Linked DNA regions of Pelodiscus sinensis. The protein of the gene in region 1 interacts with the protein of each later gene in a pairwise test. Links are inferred from orthologs where the notes say so. Each region holds a gene or a part of one and is shown in the gene's direction. Other genes may lie near its edges.

Region 1 (6,932 bases):
AGGAATGCAAATGCAGCTGAGTGAAATTGCAAATGAAGCACGGATTTGAATTTCCCGTGCTTCATTTGCATAATCGCAGACCGCCGCTTTTCTGAAATAGCGTCTTTCGAGAAAACAAACATGGTCCCCGTGGGGTCATTTCGAGAAAAAACCCTTCAACTTCAATTTATGAGTTTTATAGTTTTACGTAGGGACTGTCCAGTTTGGCCAGTGTATATGGCAAAGGGGCATTGCTGGCACATGATTGCATATATTACATTGGTAGATGTGCAGGTGAATGAGTCTGTAATGGTGTGGCTGATGTGGTTAGGTCCTGTGATGGTGTGGCTGGACAGTCCCTACATAAAAGAATAAACGGACACAAGTCAGATATCAGGAACAGCAATACACAAAAACCTGTAGGAGAACACTTCAATCTCCCTGGACACACAGTAGCAGATTTAAAAGTAGCCATCCTGCAACAAAAATTTTTTAAAACAGACTTCAAAGAGAAACTGCAAAGCTACAATTCATCTGCAAATTTGATACTATCAATTTAGGATTCAACAAAGACTATGAATGGCTAGCCAACTAGCCAACTACAAAAGCAGTTTCTCCTCTCTTGGTATTCACATCTCCACATCAGCTGCTAGAAGTGGGCCTCATCCTCCCTGACTGAATTGACCTCGTTATCTCTAACCTTACTCTTGATTGGAACTCTTTTCTTATGCCTGTATATTTATATCTGCCTCTGGAATTTCCACTACATGCATCTGATGAAGTGGGTCTTTACCTATGAAAGCTTATGCTCCAATAAATCTGTTAGTCTATAACGTGCCACAGGACTTCTTGTTGTTCTTGCATGTAAGAAGTACACAAAACAATGAGAAGGTTAATAAGCACTCCGCTTACCCCGTCTCATTATATAAAAACAAGATAACATTCAATTAAATTGAAAGGAAGCAAAATAAAAAATAATACAAGGAATTCTATGTTTTAAACATTGTTAACTATGGAACTCATCGCAACAGTATGCCATTGATTGAAAGTGTTTAACAGAATTTAAAAAAGCATTAGACGTTTATGTGGGCAAAAGAAACTCCACCCATTTCATAAAAGAAAATATTAAGAGTGACAAACTCTCATGCTTTAGGGACTAAGCTAACTGTCTAAATTCCTCTGTGCATACACCATTCCCTCCTAACTTGTTATTATTTAGACACTTACATTCTCCTCTGAAATATTTGGTAGTGGCCTCTTCAGAAACAGGATATTGGAATAGATGAACCACTGGTGTGATCCAATAGGCCAATTTAAGCTCTTTGGGGCAGACAGGTGAATTTGGATGTCTCAATTTTGGGGGCTCAACTTGAGACACTTAAATATAATTCACAGCGAGTTTGCGACTGCTACAGCAGCTTTGAATGATTGTGTAACTTTCCTTTATGGTGCTTTTAAGTTTATGTCAACCACGGTCAGAGCTCTGCAGCTTAAATATTGAGGGGTTTTGATTTTCAAAAGCACTGAGCATCCTCAGAAAGACAGAAGACTTTAAAGTGACTTGAGTTGAGCACGCAAATATTAAGACACCAAAATCACTAGTCTCAACAATTTAGGTCTTTCTGACGAAAAAGGTTCTACTTTTGCTATTATTTTGCAGTTTTTATTTTTTACGTGAAAATATTTACTTTAACCTTTACTACAGCTTAAGGTGAAGCTACTCCATTCATTAAGTTGGATGAACTTTGCTACCCACAGTTATGCACATCCTAAATACTTTGGGTCCTCTTTGCATAGAACTAGCAAAACCAGTCAGACCAACCAGGTGTGGTGCCGTGCTGAAAATATGATTATAGGTTTCCAAACTTGAATCATTAACTAAACAAAGCCACCAAGAAAAACAGGTGAGCCCTCAAAGGTTGTGCTCTTGATTGCATAGCAGATGGGATGCAAAACCACAGGTGTTAGTTTGCTGTGGAAAGTATTTCAGAATACTTTGTTGTTTAATCACTCCACCATATGCAAAATCATGAGGAAAAAGAAGTGGGCAATTACTGGAGGAAGAAAGTGGCCTGCAAGACACAGTTAAGAAATCATCCACAAATATCCTGAACCTAATTTAAGAGGTCTGGCTCCTCTGTCATACCATGGAGTTTGGGTTTCAAATGACCTTTTAAAAAGGTTGTAAGAAAAAGAAAAAAAGCCAAGACTCCAAGATAAATGGAGACAGACTCTATCACAGGATAGCATGACAGATTCAGAAGTGCTCATGGATTCCTAAGCTTAATATCCAATTAACACCTTATTTAATATTTCTGTCTTCTGCAAAGAAGTTTTGTTCACAAGTTACTACACCATCTGTATGATCTCTGTAACACAATTAATATTTAAACCCCTGTTCTTTTTGCTTTCTCCTGATGGGAATGTGTTGACTCAGCCTCTTATACTCGATATTTGTGAAAGACTAGTTGACTATCTTTGCTGTGCAGGACTCTTTCCTGAGGCAGGCAAAGTGAAGCCAACAAGACAATCCAGTTTGTTGATTTTAATTAAAGAACTGGAACAGAGAGTCCAACTTCAGTGCTGGCAGAACAAAGGCATGCCAAGGCAGATTTGGCACATTGGTTTAAAGCAATGTTTCTGAAAGTGTACCGCAGAAACATTTTCAGAAACACTTTAACTGGCTGCCCCGGTTTGTTTATGAACTGACGCCATGGCCATGGAGTCGTGCAGGTCTCATTGGCTGTTTCATTCTTTGCACCCAAGAGGAGCCGCGGGAAGTGGTGGCCCAGCCTACACCACTTCCCGCGGCTCCCGTTGGCTGCAAAGGACGAAACGGAGCCAATGGGAGCCGCAAGGCTCCGTGGTCATGGTACACTTTCAGAAACACTGGTTTAAAGAACCATATCACAAGCTTCAGAAGCAATACCATTTAACATCAGATCAACATAAATTCCAAGGGGATATAACTCAGCCAGAAGTACTGTTCCTGATGACTCTCTGTCAAACTCGGTTAACGTTAACCATTTTTCAGCCGATTTACAAAATTTTCCATATGGCACCTGCTTATATTTTAGCAGTTATCTTGTTTGCATTTTAAGGTGCCTACAATGTTTTAAGAAAAAACAAAGCAGAAAAATTAAAAGGGATTTAGATGCAACAAGTGGACATTAAGATTGACATGAGTAAAGTTAGGCCAAATCTAAGCAGTTTTGAAATTTCCACCCTGGATGTACTTTAAAAAAGTGAGTTACACCATAACTACATGAAGAGGGTGGAAACTTCTCTGTGGGGATAGAGCCATATCATTTTAGATGCAATTTTTACCTTCCTTGATGTTTTCTGTTTGATCAATGTATATAGTTCCCCTAGACTCTAACTCTAAGGCCATTCTTTTTACAGAAAGCGGCGAGGAGTCCTGTGGCACCTTATAGACTAACTGCAGTGTAGGAGCATAAGCTTTCGTGGGCAAAGACCCACTTCGTCAGATGCATGTAGTGACGAAGAGGCCTTTTTAAAGAGGCTGCTGATTCTGAATGCCTCAGTTACTGATCTGGAAACAGCTTGGCCCAATGAGAAATACAACTGTTCAGCACCTTTAGCCTTGTCCACCTCCACGGTTTATGGAACGTTCAAATGTGGAATGTAGACAACCCACGTACATTTTCAAATACTCCAGGTTCAAAAATGTGTTCTGGTTTGTCTGGGATGAAGAACTCAGCATGTGCCCGCATTTCGCTCCGCTTTGCATCCCCTCACGTTTCTTGTCGCAAATGCTTCCCGCCGGAGGCGGAGAGGGCAGACGAAAGAAGCAACGTCATGTAAGACACACCCCAGCTTTTTAAGCGTCCTGTGAATCATTGCCCCGGGTGGGGTCCCTCCTCTTGGCCACTCGCTCGAGTCTCCCTCCCGCCGGGCTTGGGGAGGCTGGGAGAGAGTTTCGCAAGCGCCGCGCCGCTCTGCAAAGAGTTAAGGCAGGCGGGCAGGAAACCAGCAGCAGCCACACTTCCTGCGAGGGGCTCTGCCCGGCTGTCGCTCTTCCTCGTGACTCGCTTCCTTTCGGCCCGAGGAACTGGGCGGCGCTGCTGCGGTGTTTACCTGGCTCCAGCGCACGGCAGCCTCCCTCCCTGCCTCCTCCGCGCGCGGCGAGGGCGCACAAGCCCCAGCGCTCCGCAGCAGCCCAGCCGCACGGGCCAGGCCGTCCTGCAGCAGCAGCGGCGGCGGGGCGGGGGTTTTCCAACATGCCCGCTGTGGACAAGCTCCTGCTGGAAGAGGCTTTGCAAGACAGCCCGCAGGTACCGTGCCCGGCTTCCGGCGGCTCCGGGGAGTCCCCGGTGCTGCGCCCCGGTTCCCGGGCCCGTGCCCAGCAAGGTTTTCACTCGCGCCGCGGGGATACCCTAGCAGCCCCCCTCGTGCTTCGCAGGGCTCATCCCCGTGACGCACCTGCATTTCCAGCTGAGGGGAGGCAACGCGGGATTTAGCAGGGCTCCGCGACACAAGAGGGGTGGGAAGGGTTAAACCTCCAGCCTCCCCAGGGGCACAATCCAAGCTGGTGATACCCTTGCTCAGCTTCTCGTCACTGCCCAGTAACACGTAGGTTAGTGCGGTGGTACCTTGAGCTTCTGCAGCGGGTTTCATCTGCCCATCAGGGCGCATGAGAGAGGTGGGCGAGTATGCCACCGTTTTACACTTTGGGAAACTGAGGCACGGTAGGGATGAGTTAAGTGGTTTTCATTGGCTTAGGTGAAGAGTATCCTTTTGCTGTGGGCTGGGGAAGTAGCCGCCCCAGGAATAGGCAGAGCAGAGTCTCAAAGTGGAGAAAATAGGTCACTTGTCACAGTGGGGCAGGAGAGAAGGGGAGAGTTTCATAGACAGTCTGGGAGAGGTTGGCACCAAGGAGGATTGAGACAAGGGTGCCCTCTCTTGTCTGTCAAACTGTCCACTCCCTTTCGCATTCCATGTGGGGAGGGCAAAGCGTCAGCCTTTGATGTGTCTTACCTGTGCAGGTGCTCGAGGTGTATGTGCAGTTTGCCAGCCTGCTGTCACATTCCCTAGCTCAGTGATTCTCAACCTTTCCAGACTGCTGTGCTCCTTTCAGGAGTTGGATTTGTCTTACAACTTTCACCTCATTTAAAACTACTTGCTTACAAAATAAGACATAAACATTCAAAAGTGTCGCAGAAGGCTAGCACAAAAAATTGCTCACTTTCGCGTTACCATATAATTATAACCTAAATTAATTGGAATATAAATATTGTACTCACATTTCAGTGTATAGTACTTAGAGCAGTATAAACAAGTCATTGTATGAAATTTTAGGTTGTACTGACTTTGCTAGAATTTTTTATTTAGCCTGTTGTAAAATTAGGTGAATACCTAGATTTGTTGATGTACCTGTGAAAGACTTCTGTGTATCCGCAGAAGTACACCTACCCCTGGACAAGAACCATTGCCCTAGCTCTACTGACTAGACTTGTGAGAGACTGCGATAATACTGGGACAAAATACTGAACTTTATACAACTGAGAAGGACACCAGGGCAATCCCTGAAATCAGGGATGTTCCTCGGTTTTAGGGACAAATTTGCGAATGGATTCATATCACTAAATCCAGACTGTTAGTGCCCTCTTCCACTTCCATCTCCAAGAATTTCCTTGTATTAGATGAGAGCCCTTTCTGTCTACAATGCCCTAGACCAAACTATGCTGGGGCAGTCAGTGCTGTATCTCTATTGGAAAAGTGAACCATGGACCCGGGGAATGCTCCACACAGAGGAGAGGCTGGCAGATGACCTGTATTTATGGTCAGGGGGAGAGATGGACATGAAGGAAGGGGCCCTGAGAGTTGTATGGGGAGGAACAAAGCAGGCAAAAAGAGTGGGAAGCAGAACATTGGGGAAAACGGAGATGCTACAGGCACAGGGGAAAAAAGGGAAAGGTCTGGGAAACAGCAGTCAGAGAGGGGCTTTGCCAAGGGATGGGAAGAGGGGCATTTGTAGGAAGAGGATGTACATGTGTGGAGGCAAGATGAAGAAAGAGAGTGACACTGAGGGAGGGAAGAAAGAAGAACAGGGGTGAGCCAGAATTAGGAGAAGTCAAATCCTAGATCCATAGCAAGGAGAAGCAGTAGTCTTGGGAGGGTGAACCTACTGAAACTCTGCAATGCCATTCTGCCACCTCTAAATTGACTGGTTCTGAACCAGCAGGAGGAAGGAAATCAGTCCTGGGAGGAATCACACTCTCCTTCCTTTTCATCCAGGGGCACCCTACAATTTACTGAACTACACTAGATTTATTTTCAATTTGTATAAATTTTTCGCGTTTACTGAAGATTTATTACTTAACTAACAAAGTGACCTGGCATTGCTCGAGTCCTTATGGATGGACTCATGGCAGAGGTTTGGAGATGTGGGAGGTGCAGGAGTGACGGCAGGGGCTTGGAGATGTGGGGGGCTCAGGGCAGAAGGCTGGGTGTGCATGTGGAGGTGCAGGAGTCAGGATGTGAGGAGGGGCTTGGGGCAGAGGTCTGGGGGGTACAGCACTCAGAGTTGGGGATAAGGAGGGGCTCAGAACAGGGAGTGTGTGGAGGCTCATGGAGGCAGTAGGGATGCAGGAGTCAGGAAAGAGGCTTAGGAGGTATGGGAGAGTACAAGGGGGTCTCAGGGCAGGGGCGGCCACTGGCTTCTCCCTGGGGTGGCAAGAGGGGGGCCAACCCAGAGTATCTGGTGGCTTCTCTCCAGGTCAGCCCGGGACGGGGGGGTGGGAGCACAACCTGGACAGTGGCCTCTCCCCAGGGTTAGCCTTGAGCGAGGTAGCAGCCAATCTCTTTCCATTTGATGGGAAACGATCACATTCCACACACGCCCATTGTCCTGGCACAACCAAATCCTGGCTTTAAGTTATGATAAGAGGAAGTTGCATACCAAATTTTTACTGTTTAGGAGGTGTTGAACA
Region 2 (7,289 bases), on another chromosome or scaffold:
AAGCTCTATTTTTACAGCCACTGCCTCCTGCTGCTTTTGGGGAGGGGCAATGTTGTGCCCCTGCTGCTTGGTACGTGGTACGGTCAATGGCTGGCATAGGAGGGGTTGGAGAGACGGGGGGGGGACAACTCAGTCTGATTCCCAAAATACCTGGCACCCCAAAGCACCTTGCTGAAAGGCCCCCCCCTACCTGGGGCTCCATCTGCTCAGATCCCTTTGCTGCTGCTTTCTGGGATCCTGGGGACCAGTTCAGGCCTTGCCCCTTCCCCCACCCACTTGCCATCACAGCCACTTGCTGTAAGACACTGTAAGATTGTCAGTGTTCGTGCGGAAATACTACGCTGCTCCCGTTCGGGCAAAAGCCCTCGTGTGTAAATGCTTTTGCGCAAGAGGGCCAGTGTAGACAACGCGGTATTGTTGTGCGGATAAAAGCCCCGATGGCGAAAATGGCGATCGGGGCTTTCTTGCACAAAACTGCGTCTAAAGTGCTTTTGCGCAAAAGCACCCGTGCCAATCTAGATGCTCTTTTCCGCAAATGCTTTTAACGGAAAAACTTTTCCGCTAAAAGCATTTGCGGAAAATCATGCCAGTCTAGACGTAGCCGTGTTGTCAGAGGTGCTGTGCCAGCCAGCTACCCTCCCTGGAACAGGGCAATTAACTGGTGGCGCCTTTTCCTGGCAAGCCAGCCTGACTCACGGGCACCAGTCCCCACCTGTCCTAGGCTGCTGGGGCTCAGCCATGGATAGATTGGCCAACCCAGTTTTCTGGCCTAGAGGGGAGTGTGCGTTTCCCCTGCCCCACTGGCTCAGTGGCCCAGCCTGCTCTCCAGCCCGGCATGGGGGGCAGTGGGGTTTATGCTGACAGGCAGCGCCTCCTGTGGCCTTGTCCGCCCTGTGCTCTGCAGCTCTCTACATGCTCCTGGGGGCTTACCCAGCCCGGCTCACTGACTGCGCCCCTTGACTCTGGCAGCTTGGACCCTGTGAGGGGGGGAGGTTTCTCTCCCTGCTCTGCCCCAGCCACACAGGCTAGCCCGTGAAAAATCTCCCTTGGGCCAGAGCTCCCAGGTCTCTGCGAGCAACAAACATCGCTGCTGGCAACACAGGGCGGCCTCTCGGCTCCCTCCCCTAACGAGCCCTCGGGGTGGGTTGCATCACCTGCTCTCCTAAGCTGGGGCTGCCGTGTGACTGCAGGCTGCTGGGCCACACCAAGGGCAGGTCGCTGATCCCATCCTCCGACCCAGCCCACAGTCCCCATTGCTCCATGTGCTTTCCAAGCTGCAGCAGGGCCGGCATTGGGCTGAGTCACAGCAGCTCCCGATGTAACAGACTAGGACCCAGCCTGAACACCCGTAAAGATCCTACAGCCAAGTAGGGCGGAGCCAGCCCATAGCTCTGCCTGCCAAATTTCCTCTTACCAGGCCCCTGTCCTGGCAACCTGCCAGGCCCTGGGTAGCTACAGCTGCCACTTCTGCCCTTTGAACCCCAGAGCCCTCGTCTCCAGGGCATGGCACAGGACTACGCTCTGCTCTCCCGCCCATCAGGCACTGCTGCAGAAACGCCAGGGGCTGCTGTCCGTGAGGACACCCCTACTCGGGGGAATTCCCCTCCACTGCACCACGGTGATGTTCACGTCTTCAGCCCCTTTCTTTCCAATGCTCATTGGCTGCTCTGCACACCCGCCGCTGAAATGCAGCCAGCTCTGGGTGGTTGCGTATGTGTCAGAGGCAGGCCTGAACCCAGGATCTTCTGCTGCCCAGCACAGCCCTCTCCTGCTAGTGCCAGCCTCTGGGAGCTACAGCCCCGCTGGGATGTTGGAGGCAGAACCCTCTCCTAAGCCCTGAGCCACGGCCTGGGTTTGTGGAGGGGCCCTGTCAGCGCGCCGAGGCTGAATTGTGTAGCTGGCATGGGTCAGGTCTACGGTTGTCAGATGGTTGAAACAAAAATACAGAACAAGCCGCCCCCTGCCAAAAAAAAAAAAAACACTGAGAAAAAATTCTGTTGAAGGAAAAAAAAAGGGGGGGGGGAGCCAAAGAGGTTGAGAAAAAAAAAAAAGACTCCAAGGCCATTTTGTGCCAGCAGCCTTGCAGAACCTGGGGCTGGGGTCAGGGAGCTGGGGTGTTGGGAGCCAGGGGGGGCTTGAGGAGGGAGGCAAGTTGCTTCTCAGTTTAAATCTCTGTGGTGATCACAGGGATGGGGCACTGCTAGGGGTTACCAGGTAGTCATTAACAAAAAAACTGGACACGCTTCATAGGAGGAGGGGAGGGAGAAGGACTGGCCAGGCGGGGAGCGGTACTGACTGGGAAGGGTGGGGGGGCCTGGAAACAGCTAACGGGGGGGGGGCAACGGGGCTGGCTGGGGAAAGATGGGGGGGCCAACGGGAAGCAGGGCTGGTCGTGGGGGGGGAGGTTGGGCGGTACGGAGCTGGCCGCGGAATATCAGGGGAGGGGAACTGACCGGGAGGAAGGGGGGGGCGGGAGCTGCGAGGCTGGCCGGGAGGAAGGGGGGGCAGGAGGAAGGGAGGTGGGAAGCACAGCTGGGGAGGGGTCGGGAGCCGTGGGGCTGGCTGGGAGGGAAGCAGAGTTGGCGGGGGCGGGGGTGCAGCGGCGCAGGAAGAAGAACAGGCCAGTGGGAAGCAGAGCTGGGGGGCGGTGCAGGGGGGCTGGCCGGGGAAGATCAGGAGGGGAAGTGGGGGAGGACCGGCCGGCCGGGTAGGGGAGGGGTGAGCAAATCGGCCGGCGGGAGCGGGACTGACCCGGGCACTTGCAGATCCTGGGGCGCTGCCTGTCCCGCGCAGGCTCCCGGCAACGCACGAGCAAGGAGGAGGCTTCCCCCACTCAACCAACGGAGGGCTCTCGGCGGCAATGGTGGCCCCGCTTCCCAACTAGGACGCCCAGCCGCTCCCCCCGCCCTTGCCAGGCTTCTGTCTGGTGCGCAGCCGGAAAAATCAGACAATACCGGACATTGCACGTGTCCAGTATTGTCTGATTTGTTTTACCGGACAGAGCGAGCAAATACCGGACTGTCCGGTACAATACCGGACACCTGGCAACACTAGTCATGTTGGTGGCTGGACTTGGGCAGTTTGCAGCCTCCTGGGTAAGAGGGGATGGGGGCAGCAGAACAGCCTAAAACCACTATACCAGTCCAGCTGTCCTCAGGGCCAGCTCCAGCCGTGGGCACGGGACTGACCGTGTGCAGCAGGGCAGGCTGCGTCCCAAAGCAGACCCGTGGGCCAATGCCTCCACCTCTGTCTCCTCCAGGCCAAGCGCCCCCCCCTCCCCCCCCAGCAGGCTTGGGTGGCCCAGCACCCCTCCCTATCACACCCAGCTCTGGGGTGGCACAGATGATCCCAGCTATCCCAGGGAGCTCCCTGCTGCCACCAGGGGGAAGTCCTGCTGGCCCCCCACCCAGGCAACAGAGTCTTCCTCCTGCTCTCCCTCCCCCCACCTCGCCCCAGGCTCCTCCCTCTGCCCCAGGCTCCACCCCCTCCGTTCTCATCCCCCCCCTCGCTCCCCCCCCGCTACAGGCTCCTCCCTCTGTCCCTGGCTCCTCCTCCCTCCCCCCACCTCGCCCCAGGCTCCTCCCTCTGCCCCAGGCTCCACCCCCTCCGTTCTCATCCCCCCCTCGCCCCCCCCCCCCCGCTACAGGCTCCTCCCTCTGTCCCTGGCTCCTCCTCCCTCCCCCCACCTCGCCCCAGGCTCCTCCCTCTGCCCCAGGCTCAACCCCACCCGCAGGCTCCACCCCCTCCATTCTCATTCCCCCCCCCCCAGGCTCCTCCCTCTGCCCCAGGCTCCACCCCCTCCGTTCTCATTCCCCCGCCCCAGGCTCCTCCCTCTGCCCCAGGCTCCACCCCCTCCGTTCTCATCCCCCCTCGCCCCCCCCACTACAGGCTCCTCCCTCTGTCCCTGGCTCCTCCTCCAGGGAGCACCGAGCCCCCGCCCCAGGCTCCACCCACGCCCCCAGGCTCCTCCCCCTGCCCATCCCCGTTCCAGGCTCCTCCCTCTGCCCCAGGCTCCTCCCCCTCCCCTTACCACCGCCCAGGCTTCTCCCTCCGCTTCCCCCACCCACTTCAAGCTCCGCCCCCTTCCAGGCTCCTCCCCCTGTTTCTTCCCTGCGCACCAAGCTGCGCCCACCGCCCCAGGCGGCACCCTCCCACCTCGAGGCCTACAACTCCCATCGGCCCCCGCGAGTGCGTCACGTGGACCGCCCCGCCGCGCTACGCCCCACTTCCGGCAGCGCGGAGAAGGGCCGGGCTGGGAGGGGCGGGGAGGGAGGAGTGGGCAGGGCTTCGGTGATTGGCGGACGCCGCTGCCTCTGACCCCGCCCGACCGGAGCGGAAGGGGTGGGCGGACCCGGAAACGGAGCAGCTGAAAGGCGGAAGTGGAGGCCGCAGCCTGAGAGCCAGCTGGGGCGGGGGAGAGAGGCGACCCCGGCGCGGTGAGTGGGGCCGGTTCGGAGCGGGGCGTCCTGGGGCGGGGGCTCGGTGCTGCGTGTCCTGCTCCCTGGAGCCGGGGCGGGGGCGCAGTCGGGCGGGGAGGGGCCGCTCAGGGGGGTGTCCTGCCCCTTGGAGCCGGGGGGCAGAGAGGCCCTGTGGGTGGGGGGCGCCCTGAGGTGGGTGCCTTGTGGGTGGGGGGGGCCCTGAGGTGGGGGGGCCCTGTGGTGGGTGCCTTGTGGGTGGGGGGGGCCCTGAGGTGGGGGGGCCCTGTGGTGGGTGCCTTGTGGGTGGGGGGGGCCCTGAGGTGGGGGGTGCCTTGCTTCCTGGGACCAGGGGGTGATCTGGCAAGGAGGCACTGGGCTGGGGGGACTCTGTCCTTGTCTCACATGCTCCCCCTCTTTATTCTTTGCTCTATACGTAAGGTTGTGTTCGGGGGGGGGGGGGGTCTTTTTAAGGGAGCTTTGCCCAGCCACTCTTCAGGGGTCAGCAGAGATCAGCCCTGGCCACACAGTACTGGGCAGTGTTGCCTGTATGCTGGGCACTTGCGTAGCTGCTCAGAGTCAAGTGCTGGCCAGCCAGCTGACTAGCAGAGCTACTGCAGCTAGTATTTTTGTCTGTGTTCTATTGGTAGTGCACCTTTGCACATATCTCAGTGTGCGCAAAACTTATTCTGTATGTGGTTGGGGAAAAAATCTACACCTGGATGGACTGGATTAGAGGGAATGTTGGTATGGAGTAGTTATTCCCTTGGTAACTTGGCTGGGTTCCTTGTTACTTGGCATGTGTGTGTAAATGGGCCTGGAAGCAGCTGAGATCCTGGGCTGTTTACAGGGGTAACCTTCCCTGTTTCCCTGAACACCTGAGACCAGTTTAGGTGGCTGGTGAGAAGTGGGATTAATCTATTGTCCTGTCTTGGATGAGACTCTGTAATCTTGCCCACATTTCCCCCCCCCCCCATGCGTGCACATAAAGCATACCAAGAATGGCATTTGCTGGTAACTCACTTATTACATGAGTAGAAAAGAGAAGCAAACTCATCTTTCCCCCCCCCCCCCCCCCCCCTGCCCCTGGTCATTAATTCTATTGCTTCCCTGGTTATGAACAGTCAATTTCCTAGTAACTTCCCCTTCCCCTGGCTTGTATTGTCACTTGGTAAATGTATGACAATTCATGATTCACTTTGACCCAGCAAACAGACCTCTCTCTCTTGCCCACAATTAGGATCTGGATAACTGGATTGGTTGACTGGGTAATGGTGGCTTTTGTTGCCATAATCACCCTAGCTTTCTGGGCACTGGACAGGTCTAATGGCTGTGGCATAGTGTTTCCAAGGGTTAGGCTTTCTGTTGTCAAATGTAGGTGTACAAGTTGACCATAATATTATGGCTTTATGGTAGTTAGTGTTATTGAGCAGAAAGTTTAAGGCAGAGAATTGTCAAAACTAGGTCTTTGAGAAGTCACCTAGTCTGGACTGAGCTGAGCACTGGTGTGTGAGGTGGGGAGACTTCAACTTCCAATCCCAACTTGGACATAAGCTTGTAATGTGAGCCTTGGAGGAGGGTGTCTTATCTTCTGACATGGGCATGGTATTTGGCTCCAAAGACTGGGGGCTTGTTGCCTAATGTGAAACAATGGAAGTGCAAGGAATAAAGGGTTTAACTGAAGAAAAGATGGTGTCTTAAAATAGATTCCTCTGGTTAGACTCTTGAATAAAAGTGCAAATTTCCCATACAGAGATTTCACTTAGGTCATATGCATGCTTCTATAAAACTAACCTTCTCACTCGCTTCTTGATAGGGCCTGTATGGTAGTGCACTTACTGTGGAAGTGTACAAGATTTTTCAGAGGCACAGAATGCAGGTGCTATCCAACCAAAATGTATGATCCTTATGGACATCAGAGCAATAATATTTACTACTTATTATAATTAGTTTACTTCCTGATTTTAAAAGCAGCATACTTAGAAGCTGCTCACTTAATTTCCCAGTTGGAGTACGGGGATATGGCTCTTCAGGTTTGACTCATAAGGGCTGCCTGAGTTACTAGTTAATAGTTTCTTTATATGTAGGGGAATACCATGCTGTGTCAGGCTTTCTGAATGACTGCCACAATAGCCAGCTGTAACTGTTCTGGTTATTTAAGTGCCATTGTACTGTTTTGTATAGACAAAGTAATTGATTTCTCCTAACTTCTATGACTTGTAGCAAAGGTTAGAGCACTTCTGCTTTTTTTTTTAAGAGCTTGGATTTCTTAGAAAATATCTTGTGGAAATAAACTGCCCAGGGATTTAGGAAACAGGAGCCCAAAGTTAGTTGCCAAAGGGATCCAATATTTGTGTCTATTTTAAGAGTTTCAAGTATCTAGCTTCTAGTGGACTTAAGACCCCAACTTCAGTCTCTCATTTCAGAAAGGGGGGGGGAATGGTCAGAGCTGGTGTTTACAAATTGAATATGTATCAAGTTGAAGGTGGACTTAACACATTTAGAGGTAATACTGCAGTTAAATTGCATGACAGTGGGATCAAATGTAGACCTCATAAATATGCTAAACTGTAACAAATTCAAAGCTGAATGGAGTAGGGATGTAATAGCATAGTTGATTAACCTGTAAGCTTTTGCTTATTGGCTAATGCTGTCCACTACATGCATTTCCCTGCCTGTCAGTAAGTGTTTGCTTTTAAAAAAAAAAAAAAAAAAGACTGGCCAGCAGCCTGTCTCTGTCCTGGTTTGTGATGGGTCCAGGACCTACCCCTGCCATGGTTCTACATCTAAAGTGTATTAGGAGCTGGGTGGGCAGGCAGCCATCTCTGTTTTGGCTCGCACCAGCTCAGAATGCCTAGAATGGAGTACAATTAG
Region 3 (7,699 bases), on another chromosome or scaffold:
CGGTGTATAAGAAATTTAACTAGTGTAGCCAAAGGTGCACTATTGAAATTGAATTTAATATATCGTATGACCCAGTCCCAAAGGTACTTAAATTTCATAGCCTGACATAGGTATTAATATTCAGACAATTTAATGACATCAGCAAATGCCACCATCTCTTTGTCCATTTCCTGCACCCAATCACTAATAAATATATTAACACCAATACTTACCCCTGTGGGTATTAGTCTCCCAAAAGTAGGAGACTACTCAGTTTTTAAATCCACCTACTCAGTTTTTAAATCCACCATAAATAATAATTTCTTAACCATAATTTCCCATAGTCTTACAAAAGGAATTTTAAAAAAACACCCCACAGAATAAGATTTATTTACTATTTTATTAATCTTCTTAAAGAACTGTATACAGGTTTGACAGCTTTTGCAGTGGAGAATTAAAGAGTCAGATTGGTTTGACCCTCAATATTTATTCAAGTGCAATATCACATTACCCACAATTAGTTTCTCATTCAGCTCCCCTGGGTTGAGGATATATTTCCCCTTCCATAACTCCGAGGATCTCATCTAGCTCTTTTGTTTGATTATTTTAATAAAATTAATTGTATCATATTACATGAATATCTCCATTATTTAATGCTTTCTTTCCTTCAGACATCTTGGATCTAGTTTTAGTTATTTACTTCAATGAGTTGCTTAAAAATGTCCTATATCTTTTTCCTTGGTGTGTGTCCACACTGCAGCTCAGAGCATGTTTTCCAATGCAGATAAACACCCGCTAGCTCTGCTCAAACCACTGAGCTAAAAATAGCAGTGGTCATAGGGGCAAAGGCAGTAGCTCAGGCTAGCCATACAAGTACATACCAAGAGGGTTGAGCAGGTTCATAAGCAGATGGCCAAGCCTCCACCTGTTCTACCATGCTATTTTTAGCACAGTACCTCCAGCAAAGTCCCCTCTACCTGCAGTGTAAAGAAAGCTCCCAATTGTGATGTAGACATACGCTTTCAGGTTAATCACAGCCCTGATCTAGACTGGGACATTTTGTAATAATAATAATAAAAAAAACCTGTCAAGACCATGCACACTGAGCTCTCAGATTTTCCATCGTAATTCTAGATGTTCTTTCACAGTGACTAGGAACAGTTCATATTCTATATTTTTAGTTCAAGATGTAGTACAGTAGTTCAAAACAAAACAGGTGTCATTAACAACACTTCAAGTCAGACTTTTTTCTCTCTCTGTCCATGCCACAGTAACGATAAATCAACATGCTGCATTAGATCTGTTGATATTGAGACATACAAATTGATGTAAAACAGACATATACAAAGCACACTTTTTCCCATTATTAGATCACTACTCTAAATTCAAAATTGTAAAATGATAAAAAAATCCCCAGAAAAACTTGGGTTTCATCCCCTTCCTCCAAAAGCCAGAAGGCTGGCTTACAATCATAAATCTATTTTAGTCAAGTTACCAGGACAAATTACACTTTTGTTGATAGCATTGGCAAAAAAGCCAAGGACTGACTGGCCATGGAGAATATACTGCCGTCTCACCCCTACAGATGGTCCCCTCCAAGTCAGTCAAGGCACATTGGCTGGACACTGTGGGAGATTTGGACTATTGTTTGTAACATGCTTGTACGGAAAATAGAAGAGTTCAGGTGGCATCTTTCATTTTTTTCAATTGAAGGGGGGAGAAGGGAAAGAATTAGCTGGCAAGAAGCAAACTAAACTGTTTTCGTATTGGATTATAAGGGTTTACTTTTTAAAAATTTGGCAGAGAAAAGCAAAACAGAACAGATTTTCAATTCTACTAATGAGTTTATACTGCAGATCCAGCTGCTTTGGCTCCCCTTGTTATTAATGAATTTAAAGGTGGGATGTACTGAACTTTGAAGCTTCTTTCAAATCAAGTGTGGGTATACACAAGTGTATTAGCCAGTCTGCTCCCTATTTAAATCCCCTGCTCAACAAAAGTACTTGGTGTTGTTTGAGGTCATGACACAGAGTTAAGCAAGCAATGTCTTTAAAACCAATATCCCAGAGATAAATGTATGAACTAAAGTAGGAAACGCAAGCATAAGCCTGAAAAACCAGACCTCCCAAATTTCAACACTTTAAAGGGTGATGCCATATAATTTTCAACTACTTTTTATTCAACTTTTATACTCCAGTTTCTGAACCACCATTTCCTTTCTTCCTCTTCCCTCAAAAAATCAGGATTGTCTAAAGCAGCAACATAGAACTGGTCCATCACAAGCAACAACTTCAAAAACATTCACAATTATTTTCAAATGATAAACACAAATTGTCATCCAAAATGCCAATTAGTACCTCACTGGGATCCCTAGAGCCAGGACTCCAGCCCAACCCAAATATTATCTACACTGCAATTTTATAACCCTGCTGCCTGAGCACCCTTTTCCCTAAATCTGAATTAGCTAACAATCCTACCACTGTGTTTTATTGCAATATAAACACATTTTAGGACTCTGTGGCCCTCAAGCCACTAAACATAAATGTCCTCAAGACATATATATCCTCAACTTTAAGTCTGTGAGTTTTTTTATTGAGTTCAATGGAGTTTCTGATATGCACATCCCTTTGCTAGATTGGGACCTGAGACTCCAATCCTTCAACAATGCTTTTATATAGGCACAAGGATCTGGGGTGGGGAGTTGCAAACAATTTGGAGGGAGATTTTAAATGTCACATTGAAGCCTTCCATAAAAATTTGCCATTATTAGAGAAAAGGTTTTTAAAAGCAGACTCCAAATTAATCCATCTTTAAAGTTTCCATCCAAACAAATCAGTGGCAGTTCTGGAAGGTCATGCAATCATATTTTTAAAAAAAGTCACGGAGGAAGATGCTAAAGAGAGAATGTATGAGATCTTCAACATCAATTAGACAAGACAGACCTCAGTAGGACTGAGAAAATGTGTAGACAACAGGTTCAGGCAAAGAGTTTTAACAGGTTGAAGATGAATCCCCTAAAATCCTTCACAAGCCCTTGAAACTATGAGGCTAGATCACAGAAAGTGTTGTCTTATTCCATATCTCTGTAACTCCACAATGCAAAAGATACACAAAACAAATAACCACCTTTTCAAAAAAACTGTTGTGGTGTGTGTTTCAATTCATCATTTAAAAATCTCACTCATTCAGATTATCACAACAAGAAGTCCTTGTCTTAGGCCAACCACTAGAAATGTCCTTCGCAAGCAACAGAACACCAACTTTATAAACCTGACATGAAGAAAAGCTTTTCTCTCACACCAACATGGTCCAGTAAAAATATTACATTGCCCACTTTCTCAACTTTATAAACACAGACCTGACTGTAGGTTCCTCCACTGCCAATTATACCCATCAGTTTTTAAAAGTATTATTTCTGCATCATCCAACTATGTGGTGTGCTAGTCTTTTTGCTAAGCAGGAAATACCTTGTATCTTCCGTGTATGATGAATGATTGACATTTGGGATTACAATTAGAGATGCAAGAATTAATTTTAAAATGTGGAAACATCCCTCAAAGTATCATAGTTTATGACAGTTCTGAAACAACTTGTCCCCTTTTTCCTCATTATGCAGGTCTCCATCCTGCAAATCCAATTATGACAGGCCTTCTTCCTTTAGGGTTAGTTCTCTCCCTTCTATACCCTCAGCTGTCTGCTGTATGGTTTAGGAAGATATTTAAAATAAAAACAACCTATCGTTTTATAAAGACATGTATGTGGAGCCACCAACCTCTTTCCCTTCTTACATTAAGGGTTTTACTGGGTCATTTTAAAAACAATCAAATCACAACTGTTGGGTAGGATGAGGGGGTCCCAAAAATTTAGCTTAAAGCCCCAAATTTACCCCATTAGAGTCTCCACTCTACCAGCAGCATTTTGAAAATTCAGAGCCATCATTTGGGGAAGGGGGTAACCCAAAGCCCTCTCTGATCTTTCACCTAGCATAAAATGAGGCTCACAGGTCTCTTTCTTTGACCCTCATGTGGGAGAAGGTGTGGGGAGGAAGACGGGAGGGGGGGGGGGGAGGGAATGCACACAGGAGCACAAGTCAAAACAAAAAAGTAAAAACAGTTACTCACAATCATCTAAGTCATCCTGCAAATCCACAAAATACAAAGGGATCCCTACAAACAAAAACAAGAGAGAGAGAGAGACACGGGGGGTTGGTTTCACACGGCTCGCTGGAGAGCGGCGAGACAGAGCACGACAGAGCCACGCACGAGCGGACAGGGCGCTTTGGCCTCGGCCCCCCGCGCACCCCAACACACACGCACACCCCCACACGGAGCAGGACGGAGAGGAGCGAGAGCCGCTTACCAGCCATCTTGGAATGGACATGGGAACCCGGGGAGGGGGGCAGAGGGCGGAGCCGTCTGCGCTGCCTGACCCCGGCTGAACCCTTACCCCCCACACTCCCAATGTAATACAAAATGCTGCCCGGGGGGGGGGGGACAGCTGCCCCCCTAGGCGCTCAGCTGCCCTCGGGGGACCTAGAAAAATTACAGCCTTGCAAAAAGTGTGCCCCTGAAGGAAGGGGGGGTGGTCAGGTGACTCCAATGGGCTGCCCAAGATGGCGTCTGGTGTGTGGCGCCTGAGAAGAGGCGGCTACCTGTAAGCTGTGCCTGGAGGGGAGTTGGCCGGCCGTCTTTGTCTCCTCTGGAGAGCTCGCTGCCCGGGAGGCCTCCTCGGCGGGTGTGCTCAGGGTGGGGCTATGGTGGTGCTGAGCTGCGCCTCTGGTTCTCTTTAAGGCAACAGCCTCCCTGGCCATGGCTCTGAGGGAGCTGAAAGTTTGCTTGCTGGGGGTAAGTGACCTTCCTGGGTGTACCTGGGCTGAAAGGGAAGGGGTGTCTGCTGGAGAGTCCTCCCTCCCCCCGGTGGTCTTGATGAACAGGAGGCAAGGACGGGGAGGGGGGATTTCTCTGCCTGCCTGCCTGCCTGCTGGAGGGATTTGGTCGTGAGAGCCCTTACAGGCGAGGGGAGGGCTCTAAAGGTGTTCTCCCGTGGAGGGAGGTTATTTTTGATCTTTTCCAGTGTGTTGATTTCGGTAGCATCTGTCCCTGAGACGCCAGAGCAGCTAGCAAAGCCTTTCTGGCTAGGAAGAATGTTCGTTGTCTGTGTTTGAGACACGCTGAAACACAGCCCTTTTTTTTTTTCCAAGGCGCTTCTATTAAAAATGATCCTGTGTTGAAATTGCTCTGCTCCCATACACTTCTTACGCTGCCTAAGGCTTTGATCATGTGGGTAATATTTAGCTCTGGCACTTATGTAGCTGGATATCAGACCCGTAGTGCCATTTTTCAGGCATCAAAATCGCTCCCCAAACACTAGATAATGGATGAAGACTTAAAAACAAACGTGGGTCTGACTTTATAGCTTGTGTAGAAACCAAATCCAGCTGAAGTCAATTGAAGCTTTTCCTGGATTCACTGTACTTGAACGGAATTTGACAGGTCAAACCATGTGTTTCCTGGTTCTAAATAATCATGTATCTTCTCCCTGGAAAATGTGTATATAGTCTTTTTATATCTGGTATTGGGGGTCAGGGTGTAGTTTGCATTATTGCTTACTAAATAGGTTATCCTTTGTTTACATCAAACTTTACCTGTGAAATCTTTGTGGAGTGGGAGAAGCAGGAGGAAGAGACACTTCCCCTTCTAAACACCTCATCTCGGAAACTTATTTACTTGCATTCCCCCTTTCTCTTCTTTGTAACTTGTATTGTTGCCTGTTAAATACACTATTTTTGTCACATATTTTAGTATTTTTTTAATTCCCTTCTCCTCTCCCAAAAAGAGAACCCTCAAGAGGATCAGTACAAACTTATCTCTTTTTCTGAAGAAGTGGGTTGTACCCATGAAAGCTTATCTATATGTTTTATTAGTCTTTAAGGTGCTGCTAGACTATTTGTCGTTTTTCCAGTTACAGACTAACTCGGCTACCCTTCTGAACCTTTACATTTTGTACTAATTAATACTGTAATCCCGACTGCAAACACTGCAAAAATGTTTAAATGAAAGCAAGCTTGTTATAGTCAAAGCAAAATGCAGGACGATGTAGCACTTTAAAGACTAACAAGATGGTTTATTAGATGATGAGCTTTCGTGGGCCAGACCCACTTCCTCAGATCAAACCTATGTTTGTTATAGTCAAACATTTCTCAACATTAGGTTTGGTAAACTATCTATCTTTCTCAAAAGGTTAAATTTGGGGGTGTACATTACTTGATTCTGTAAGCTGAAGATTTTAAAGTAGTTCAGCTATGTTAACTACATTGCCATCTGAAATGTGTTTAAAAGGCATGTGAGCAATCAGACATCTTAACTTAGTGCTGCAAGAAGATGCAACTTGAAGCATGCCTTTTGTTTCTTTAAAGCTTGAGCTGTCCCAGTTATTACTCAATGCACACACAACCTGGTATTCAATTTCTGAGGGTGCTTGGAACTATTTTAAACCTTGGTTTGTCACCTTTTGAAGTAGTTTTCCTCCTCCTTTGCTCCATCTGCAGCTGTGAGATAAAAAATATATTCGTTTCAGGTATGTCACAGAAGATGTTTAAGGTCTTTCATTAAATAGGGTGAGACTCAATGACTCAGAGGCTGAAATATTTCTAATGCTTGCAATAGTGTGACACCCTTGCTCTGCCTGTATGTATTAATTACTTTATTCAGCTACACATGTACACTTTAACAGTTGAAGCAGCAGCTCTTTTTCCCCTGGACAAACATCCCTAATTCTGTTTCAAGAGACAGACATTATAACTTTTTGTTATCTTATACAAAATTATGAAAGTATCGGTTTTGGAAGACTGTATCTTTTACAGAGCTACCTCCTATTTTCAACATAATTATTTTGTGGCCCTTTATATTTTTCAATTTTTCTGCACTGAAATATTTGTTGTTATTAAGACCCTGATCCTAAAAGAAGTTCCACTTATCTGGACCCCTGTTGACTTTAGTGATGTTCTTTAAGGGAACTGGGCTCATTCTTTCCATAAGGAACTTGTTGCAGGATTGCTGTCTATACATGCCCAAGTGTTTATTGTGGCCAAATTCTCTCTGGTGTAACCGCTTCTTTCTTTTTTTTTTTTTTTTTTTTTTTTTTTTTCCAGGACACTGGTGTAGGCAAATCAAGTATTGTGTGGCGATTTGTAGAAGACAGCTTTGACCCTAACATCAACCCGACCATAGGGTAAGACGTATACAATTTATTTGAATTATAACAAAGCTAGAGGAACAATATCCTTTAATCTCTAAGGCTATGTCTACACTCGCGGCTTCTTGGGTGAGTAATATGCAAATGAGGCTAAGCGTGGAATATTGCAGAGCCTCATTTGCATACCTAATGAGCCACCATTTTTTTTCAGAAGAGGCTCTTGCTCAAGAAGGAGCATCTACACTGCCCCTTCTTGTGCAAGGAAAACCCTCTTGCGCAATGCCGTTCTTCCTGAAAACTAATAGGTGTAACGGCATTGCGCAAGAGGATTTTTCTTGTGCAAGAAGGGGCAGTGTACACGCTCCTTCTTGCACAAGAGCCTGTTCTGAAAAAAAAAGTGGCTCATTAGGTATGCAAATGAAGCTTGGCGATATTCCACGCTTAGCCTCATTTGCATATTACTCGCGCAAGAAGCCGCGAGTGTAAACATACTTTATACAGAGTAAGAGAAGTTGGGTAAAGTGGC
Region 4 (7,957 bases), about 82 Mb from region 1:
AGAGCCTGTTAAAATGCTGGTGGAATAGTACCAATCCTGTGAATCTGGGACAAATAATACTCTCATAAGGGTATTATGAAGACAAAATCAATAAAGATTGTGAGGTACTCAGTACAATCTAAAACTTTTATTTGGTGGCAAAATAAATGCATTTGATCAGTATTCCCTATGATTCTTCTTACCTTCCTAACCATACACACAGACTATAATGGTTAGGCAATCTAAGTGAGTTTGAAATCCTTAGACTCAGACGACTGAAGGTGAAATCCTGGCAAGATTGTCTTGGTCCTGTTTGTGACATACAAAATGTTAATATGAGAGAGACCTTAAAAACTAAGGTCCTGCTAGCTCTCATACCCATGAGATCCCAAGTAATGTAAGGAATGACTGTTGTGTGCTGAATGTGCACTTAGCTGCTATCCTCCCCCTCTAGATATGATTCTGATTCTGGAGTGTATTTATTTTTCTAACAGACAAAGCAAAGATTTCTAATAGCAATAAGATTGACTGGATTATAGGCACGCAATGGTTAATATGCTCTTGTTGTTTGTCAGTAAACAATTGAATTGTTATTGGTTTAGTCTGGCAACTACTAAGTCCCCTTGGGGAAATTCAGCAACAGATCTTATAGATGTGTAGAAGAGAGTACAGAACATGCTGCCCTGGTTTAGTTCCATGTCATCTGTTCATTCCTCACAAAAATGAACAAGCAAGCTGGAGATCAGTGCTGTTGCTAGAATCAATATTCTGAAGTTAACCTGAGTTCTCCAGAATGACCCCAGGACTTGGCAGCACTATTCCTGCTGGCCAGATCAAGGATTGGAAGCCCCCTTTTATTTTTTTTCCCCTGGTAAACAATCTGGACTGCCCATGGGCCTATGGTTGTATACTAGGACAAAAATATTTTTGGGGTGTTGAAAGAGAGCTCAGTGGCAACCAAAGTGTAGGAAGACAGAGTCAGGAAGAAGTAGAAGAACCCAGGAAGGGGACAAAACAAGGAGGGATAGAAGAAAAAATAACTGGACAGAAAACAAATCTGTGGTGACTGGAGAATATGGAAGGAGGAGGAAACAAACAGGTGTGCAGAAGAGTACCTTCCTTAAACTAATAATTGCAAATAATATTAATATGAAATGTCTAGTGTCTTTTCCATACAGTAAATTATCTCAGAAGAGCTAAGCCCTTCATGGGGCCTGCCTGGATGCTGATATTGCCCCCTTGTCCCAAGCAGCAACCTTGTCCTATAAGGATATGCTAAAAATTCATAAGATTGAGATAAGAGATAATAGAGCTGATAAAAAAATTGGTATCGGCAGGGGGAGGGAGAAACCCCAGGGAGCCCCCTATTGCATAGGAGAGCTGAGCAAAGATGGCAGGTGCCCTGCCTCTCTCCCCTAAGTTGCTCCGTCCCTGCTTCTGCCTCCTGGAACTCTGTCGCTCCTCCCTTCTTCACCTGGCCCAGGCCCTGCTGACCAGGAGGGTCTAAACAATAGAAGGGCATAAGGCAATAGCCTTATTAGCCTAATGGTTAATTTGACCGTTAGCTGTTAGACCTAGTCCATCCTGCTGCCAATACAAGTTTGTTTTTTAATGTAAATTTGATAATACATTCAGCTAGTATACATGTTCCAAGTGTTGAGGCTTCTACCACTTCCCTTAGAGCCACAGATCACAAACACATCTACGGATGTGGCTACCCACAGACATAAAGTAGATGGCCGCAGATTTGCAGGGCTCTATGGATAAGGACTCTCTGGTTTAATTGGTTCTAAGAAGAGTGAGATTTCAGTCAGTTCTGAGTGACAATTTAAATATCTTATTGTGACATGCATTACAGTAGCCTTCCTTGTTTTTTTAACCAGCTTTCAGATTAATTCAAAATAGCAAGAGCTGGGAGTTCTATAACATCAGTCTCAGGAATTAGATACATGGCCCATGAGACTATCCCAGTGGTTACCATTTTTCGAGAAAAGGCTCTGTTATTTATCTGCACTCCACATACACATACTTCAGCAAGAATTGATGACTGAGAAGTTTGCTTTCTACAGTACTGCACAATTCAATAGGTACATTTGTATATTACAACCCTCATTCTTTCCATCGAAACTTTTGTTTTAAATAGGAAACGCTTATCTGAAGTCAGGGAAGACTTGTTCTAGCATAAAAAATAGTAAAGAAAAAGAGGATATTTTAGGATCTGTTTTACTAATACTGCTTTAGGTCTGCAGGTATCTGCATCTGTGGATGTGGATGCAGCCTGCAGATGCAAATTTTGTATCTGGAGTCCTGCAAATTTGAGACTATCTGCTTTATATCCACTGGAATCCACATCCACTTCTGTAGATGTGGATATCTGCGACTCATTTTTGTGGATACAGAGGTGGATGCAGGGCTCTACTTATCAGGCAGTTAAATGATCCTGTGACAAATCCAGAAGACACTGATCCTTATCTTCTTATTTTGACCATCTACCAATCTTGGTGACTGGGCATAAGCATTGGTGCAAACAAGTAACAGGAGCTTTGAAGCAAATGTATCTTTTATAGGCTTGCTAATTTTGTAGGGATATATTGCTGGAGATTTCATAATATGACCATCTTTAATTAAAGATTAATCTTTCATTTCTGGGGACAAGGGAAGGAGCTAGATTTTGAAGCTATTTAGGTTCCTGTCTGTATCTTTAGATGCATACATACCTTTAAAAACCTGGTCCAAAGCTTACAGCTTCAACAAGAAAATAAAGCATGTTGCAGACTCTAGAAATGAGGGAACCTGTGACTATTTTTATTTTCTGAAACAGCCAAGCCACCAGTCAATCATTCAAAAGAGTGAAATCAGTCTTATGTTCAAAAGCTTCAGAGGGGTAGGTGAGTTAGTCTGAATCAGGAAAAGCTTAAAAAAAAAAAACAGACTAGTACCGTGGTCACCAACCAGTAGATTGTGAGCTACCGGTAGATCTCAGGGGCTCTAAGAGTAGCTCTTGAGCCCTCTCTGAACTGTGCGCCTGCACAGTACATTTACATTAGATTTCCTCATTTGAGGAGCAGCTACTCACTGAGCAACAACACAGGTGAGTAGCTGCGAGGAATGGTGGGAGCTGGGAGGTCAGGAGGGCTGAAACACACCAGCCAGCTGACTGTGGCTTTCACAGCTGGAGCTAGGCGCAGCCTCCCTGGGCTGAGCTCAGGGCAGCCGGGCTGGAGGGAAGAGAAGCAGCTGCCCGGCCAGCTGGCCATGGCGCTCAGCCAGGGTGCACCACGCTCCACGTGGGCTGGCGCAGAGGAGAAGCTGCCTGGCTTGCTGGCTGTGGCGTTCAGCCCAGAGGAGGCTGAACCGTGCTCCAGCTGATTGGGCGGCTTCCCCTCTGTGCCTGCCCACGTGGAGCTTGGTGGCACCCTGGCTGAGCACCATGGCCAGCTGGCCGGGCAGCCGCTTTTCTTTACTCCAGTCTGGCTGCCCTGCGGTCAGTCCGGAGAGAGCGTGGGTCAGAGGCTTCCCTCCGTGGCTGGTGTAAGGAACTCCTTGCCCCCAACCTTGTTCTCTCTCCTCTGCCCCAAACTTGTCCCCCGCCCTCCTGGCCCCCTGTTCCCTCTCCCTTATCCCCCTGACCCTGCTGCAGAAACCTGCCCCCCCTGCAGAAACTTGTCCCCCGGCACCCTGCCCCCCCCTGCAGAAACCAGTTCCTTCTGGCACCCTGTCCCCTGCTGCAGAACCCACTAGCACCTCTCCCCAGTACTGTGTCCCCTGCTCCCAAATGACTTTTCTATGGGTCAGTGACCCCTGACTCAAGGCAGGTTCCCTGCCATTCTCATAAATAAAGACAATGCAGAAACTTTTTGTGTTTAACATAGTATTTTATTTAAAAATGAAATCTGGCCAACAAACCCCCAATTGGGGCCAAGCCCCCATCTGGCCACAACCACTCCTGCACTCCCCTTTCCCCAGACCCTAGATCTGAGCCTATCAAACACTGGAACCTCATGCCCTCAGCCCCTCACATACCCCAACCCAAATTCCTGCATCCTCACATCCGCAAGCCTGTGGCTTGCTTAGTATCCCAACACTGCCCAGCCTGGAGCCCCCTCCCCGAGCCAGTGTCCCCTTCTCCGCCACCTCCTGCATCCATATTTCCTCCCAGAGTTTGCACCTCTCACCCCTTCCCACACCCAAATCCCTCATTCCCATCCTAGAGACTACACATCCTGTCTCAACACAGCAAGGATCCAGCTAGACTGCAGGAGTTTTTCCGGATTCTGGAGATATCCCGGAAAAACTCTTCTGCATCCAGGGCTGTGTTTGTTCTTCCGCTTTTTTAATGGAAGAGCAAACAGGCTCTTTTGGTCACCCCTATTTTCCTCTTTCCACAAGGAATAAGGTGGCTTCCAAAAGAAGGGTTTTTTTTCTGACATTTGGTCCAGTGTAGACAGGCCAAATGTTGGAAAAATCTCTTCCTACAGAATAATAAATAAATAAATAAATAAGCAGCAGTATAAGGATTGGGGATAGCAAGTGATGGAGAGGAGGAGAATAGAGAGGGTGGGGCTTCAAGGAAAGGGCGGGGCGGTAGATCTTGGCTTGGTCTGTCATTTAAAAAGTGATCTTTGGTGTAAAAAGGTTGGAGACCACTGGACTAGTAGCACCTTAAAAACTAACAAAATGTAGATATCATCATGAGCTTTCATGGGCACAACCCACTTCTTCAGATGACCGGAGTATTAAGTGGGTTACACCCACGAAAGCACATGATCCCATCTACCTGTTTTGTTAGTCTTTAAGATGCTACTAATCTATGGGTTGTTTTTTAAGTTTTTCCCATCAATCTTACGATCATTCCCTCTCTCGGGTAGCTAGCTGCTGGTCCTCCACCTTGCCAGAGGGAGGAGCACAGAGCGAGTAGCCCCAGGCACGCGCTGTCACCTGGCTGCAAGGGGAAGAAAACGCAGCGTTTTGAGTTCAACAAGTCCAGCACTTCCTCTGGGCCGCGGGCAGGCCCAGGCTGCTCGAGGGGGTGGTTTGCCATGGGGGGAGGCAGGTGCTGGGGCTCCGGTGGGCCGATCCAGAAGGGAAGCAGCCAGGATCCCTTTCTCCCCAAGCCGGCTGAGCGCGGATCCGGAGCGCAGCGCCAGCCCGCCCGGAAAGACGCGGCCCTACCAGCTGCAGGTAAGGCTGCCGGTGGGGTCCCTGCAAGGAGGCGGGGGGGGGGTCCCCCACCTCGCAAGGGAAAATGCTGGCGCGGGCACAGCGGGGGGCGACTCTTCCGCGGCCTCCCAGCGGACCGGCTGCCTGCAGATTCAGCGGGGTGGGGAGACGGGCACGCTCCGCCCGGGGCGCCCCCGAGAGAAAGGGGGAGCGCGGGGTGCCCGCACCGGCCGCTCGCTGCTGGGGGCTGTTGAGTTTGCTCTCACCGCAGCGTAGCGCCTCGCGCGGGACAAGCACCCCCCCCCCCCGGCGCGTAGGATGCTGAGGGGGGCTCGCGCCGAAGGGTGGGTGCGCGTGGGAGCCGCGCGGCTGCTCTGTGGGTAGGAGGGGCGCGAGCTGGGGGAGGAGGGGCTCCCTGCCCACGTGACAGGGCCCCCAGCCCAGGCCGCGGGCGGGGAAAGGGGGTAGCCTCGGGGGCAGTGTGCTTACCCGGGAAAGGGGCGGGGCCTGCCCGGCGTGGGCGGGGCCTGCAGCCGGCGGCCCGGGTGCCACAGGCTTGGAATGCGCTCGGCCCCCTGCAAGATGGCGGGCTGGCGAGGAGGTGAGGGGTCGGGGATGCTCCCTCACGGGACCGAGGCGGGCGGGGGGCCGCTCCCCCCCTCGGGCGCCTCAGGGACAGGGGCTGTGCGGTGCCCGTCCACGGCAGGGCCCCGGGGTCTGCGGGGAGAAGGGGGCTCTGCGGTGCCGGGTCCAGCATGGGGGGGGGGGAGGCGGCGTGCAGTGTGGGGGAGGGGGAGAGGGACAATGTGCCGTGCCTGGAGGGGGGGGGGGCACTGTCCCATGCCTGCGGGAGGCTTTTGGCGGGAGAGGTTGCTAGGCGAGTCTGGAATTTAAGAAAGAGTCCCCCAGCCTGGGAAGCCTCCAATGCCTCTCCTCCCCCTTTCCTTTTCAGTGGCGATGGGCTCATTGCAGCTTTGGTTGGGACACAAGTGACCAATCCGCTACTAACGCAGAGGAAGAAATTCAGCTACTGTCAAATACACCCTGACTCTTACTAAAGCAGGAAAAAAAAAATATAACCCTGTTGTTTTGGGCTCCAGACTTTTGACTTGCTATTAACTTTGGACGGTCGCTCCTAACAGAGTTCTGAACTGTTGTAATCATTGTTCCGTAGTTGGCATCCTTTCCTCTTTAGAACAGTTACATTGTCGATTGTAACCTTCCTAAATTTGGCCCAGTTGACAAGAAAGCAGAGATCTTTCTGGAAGAGGGATTTGCCTCGTGTCTCATCCCAGTCACCATGGTTGCATAGCAAGTACAAGAGTGTTGATTCCACTTGACTAACTGCAGCTAGTTGGCTCCCATGTAAAAGAGTGAAGGGCTTCTACATAATTGCAGTCAGAAGCATGAACTTTTGCTAGGGTGCCTTAAGGTCAGGAAAATTATTTCTGTTTTGTTTACTGAGATTCTTTTTGTATGAATAATTAGTAGGTTGTAGGTAGATTTTTTTATTATATGAGTGTACATAGTATATGCAGAGCTCAAGTTCAGGCAGAGAACTGTTATAGACTTCATTCTATATTAAAACGGAGTATCATTGATTCTATCTGCGACTGCTACGCTAGTAATTTTACAAATATATTGTGGACAATTCTTACACATTACAATTGGGGGGCTCGGAAACAGACTAAAAATCAAGTATTTAATTTTTTTTCAACTCAGCTGAAACATTAAATTAGTAAAGAATCCTATTTTCTTATTGTAGTGTGGTATGTGCCTTGTCTAGCTTCACTTGAGACCATCCAGGAATTATGTAGGAAGGAAAATCTCACATGTAAATCCCTTGGAATCACCAACAGGAATCTAAAGAGTTATGAGGTGGAATATTTATGTGACTACAAGGTAGACGAGGTAAGATAAATGTCTAGTTTTACAGAACAATTTGATCAGTATTTCAGTTGGAAATTTGGAAGTAAGAGGTGGTAGTTTTCCTCAAAGTCTAAAGTGCTAGGCTAGCATAGGGCTTTTGTTAAGTTACTGCTGACATTGAATAAAATACTTTGGAATGTTGAAGCCTAAATAAAGTATTCTTTGGCTCTGACTGTAAGAAAGGGAAGGTTCTGCGTATAGTAAAGCACAAAATGTCTGACCCCAGTGCCAAAGCAAAGTTTACTGTGCTTAAATAATAGCTCGGTGTGCATTGATGCTTCTCTTCCCCTTGTTTGCGGTTAAAAGGACACTTCTTCCTCTATAGTACTGCAGTCTGTTCGTTGAATAGCTACGGCCACATGTTGCAATTGGATCCATGACCAGATCCCCATTAGGTGCCATGTGTATGCAGAAGCTGATCAGTGTGTGTGCCTGGTTTAAAGATTTGTCCTTATTGCTCAATTCCCTTGGGGAAAAAAAACCCCTCCTTTCAAAATAATTACATTTTACAATACATAGTCTTTGTAGTAAATATAGCATTAAGAAGTGTTTTTGATTGTATTATTCCTCTAGGCTGACTCAAATAACGATTACAAATAATACTATTAGAGGTTTTTTGGTCAAACTTTAGATTTTCTTTTTGTTCTGTGTAGGGTGTTATTTTATACTGTTTCCATCAGTGGCAATGCTAACAAACTGATCCATGCTAATATTATTTACGTGTTCTGAGTCATTATACAGCCTATAGTTATCCATGTCCTTACAAATGGTGCACAAAGTACATACGTTGCATTTGAAAGGCTTGATTCTCTATTGTTAGCTAAATTCACAGCTGCATGGTCATATGTGGTTTTATTTCTCCATCATAAAGAGGGTGATAAGAATGTTA

Evidence for each region.
Region 2: the proteins of APPL2 (region 1) and RAB5C interact in binary tests that used the Homo sapiens proteins (3 or more experiments, as listed by UniProt). The two-hybrid records come from large-scale screens. The link is inferred for Pelodiscus sinensis from reciprocal best matches to the Homo sapiens genes APPL2 and RAB5C.
Region 3: the proteins of APPL2 (region 1) and RAB22A interact in binary tests that used the Homo sapiens proteins (3 or more experiments, as listed by UniProt). The two-hybrid records come from large-scale screens. The link is inferred for Pelodiscus sinensis from reciprocal best matches to the Homo sapiens genes APPL2 and RAB22A.
Region 4: the proteins of APPL2 (region 1) and SUV39H2 interact in binary tests that used the Homo sapiens proteins (3 or more experiments, as listed by UniProt). The link is inferred for Pelodiscus sinensis from reciprocal best matches to the Homo sapiens genes APPL2 and SUV39H2.

Annotation. Positions count from the first base shown.
Region 1 is NC_134711.1:97,457,362-97,464,293, forward strand, and holds the start of APPL2 (DCC-interacting protein 13-beta), read left to right. Parts: upstream 1-3,922; 5' UTR 3,923-4,220; coding exon 4,221-4,274; intron 4,275-6,932. UniProt on the Homo sapiens protein: Multifunctional adapter protein that binds to various membrane receptors, nuclear factors and signaling proteins to regulate many processes, such as cell proliferation, immune response, endosomal trafficking and cell metabolism.
Region 2 is NC_134739.1:9,305,204-9,312,492, forward strand, and holds the start of RAB5C (ras-related protein Rab-5C), read left to right. Parts: upstream 1-4,278; 5' UTR 4,279-4,436; intron 4,437-7,289. UniProt on the Homo sapiens protein: The small GTPases Rab are key regulators of intracellular membrane trafficking, from the formation of transport vesicles to their fusion with membranes.
Region 3 is NC_134728.1:13,254,017-13,261,715, reverse strand, and holds the start of RAB22A (ras-related protein Rab-22A), read left to right. Parts: upstream 1-4,684; 5' UTR 4,685-4,787; coding exon 4,788-4,823; intron 4,824-7,129; coding exon 7,130-7,209; intron 7,210-7,699. Other genes in the region: serine/threonine-protein phosphatase 4 regulatory subunit 1, read right to left, coding at 4,101-4,145, 4,339-4,345. UniProt on the Homo sapiens protein: Plays a role in endocytosis and intracellular protein transport. Mediates trafficking of TF from early endosomes to recycling endosomes. Required for NGF-mediated endocytosis of NTRK1, and subsequent neurite outgrowth.
Region 4 is NC_134711.1:15,051,534-15,059,490, forward strand, and holds the start of SUV39H2 (histone-lysine N-methyltransferase SUV39H2), read left to right. Parts: upstream 1-4,946; 5' UTR 4,947-5,018; coding exon 5,019-5,160; intron 5,161-5,616; exon of another isoform or gene 5,617-5,700; coding exon of another isoform or gene 5,701-5,740; intron 5,741-6,904; coding exon 6,905-7,050; intron 7,051-7,957. UniProt on the Homo sapiens protein: Histone methyltransferase that specifically trimethylates 'Lys-9' of histone H3 using monomethylated H3 'Lys-9' as substrate.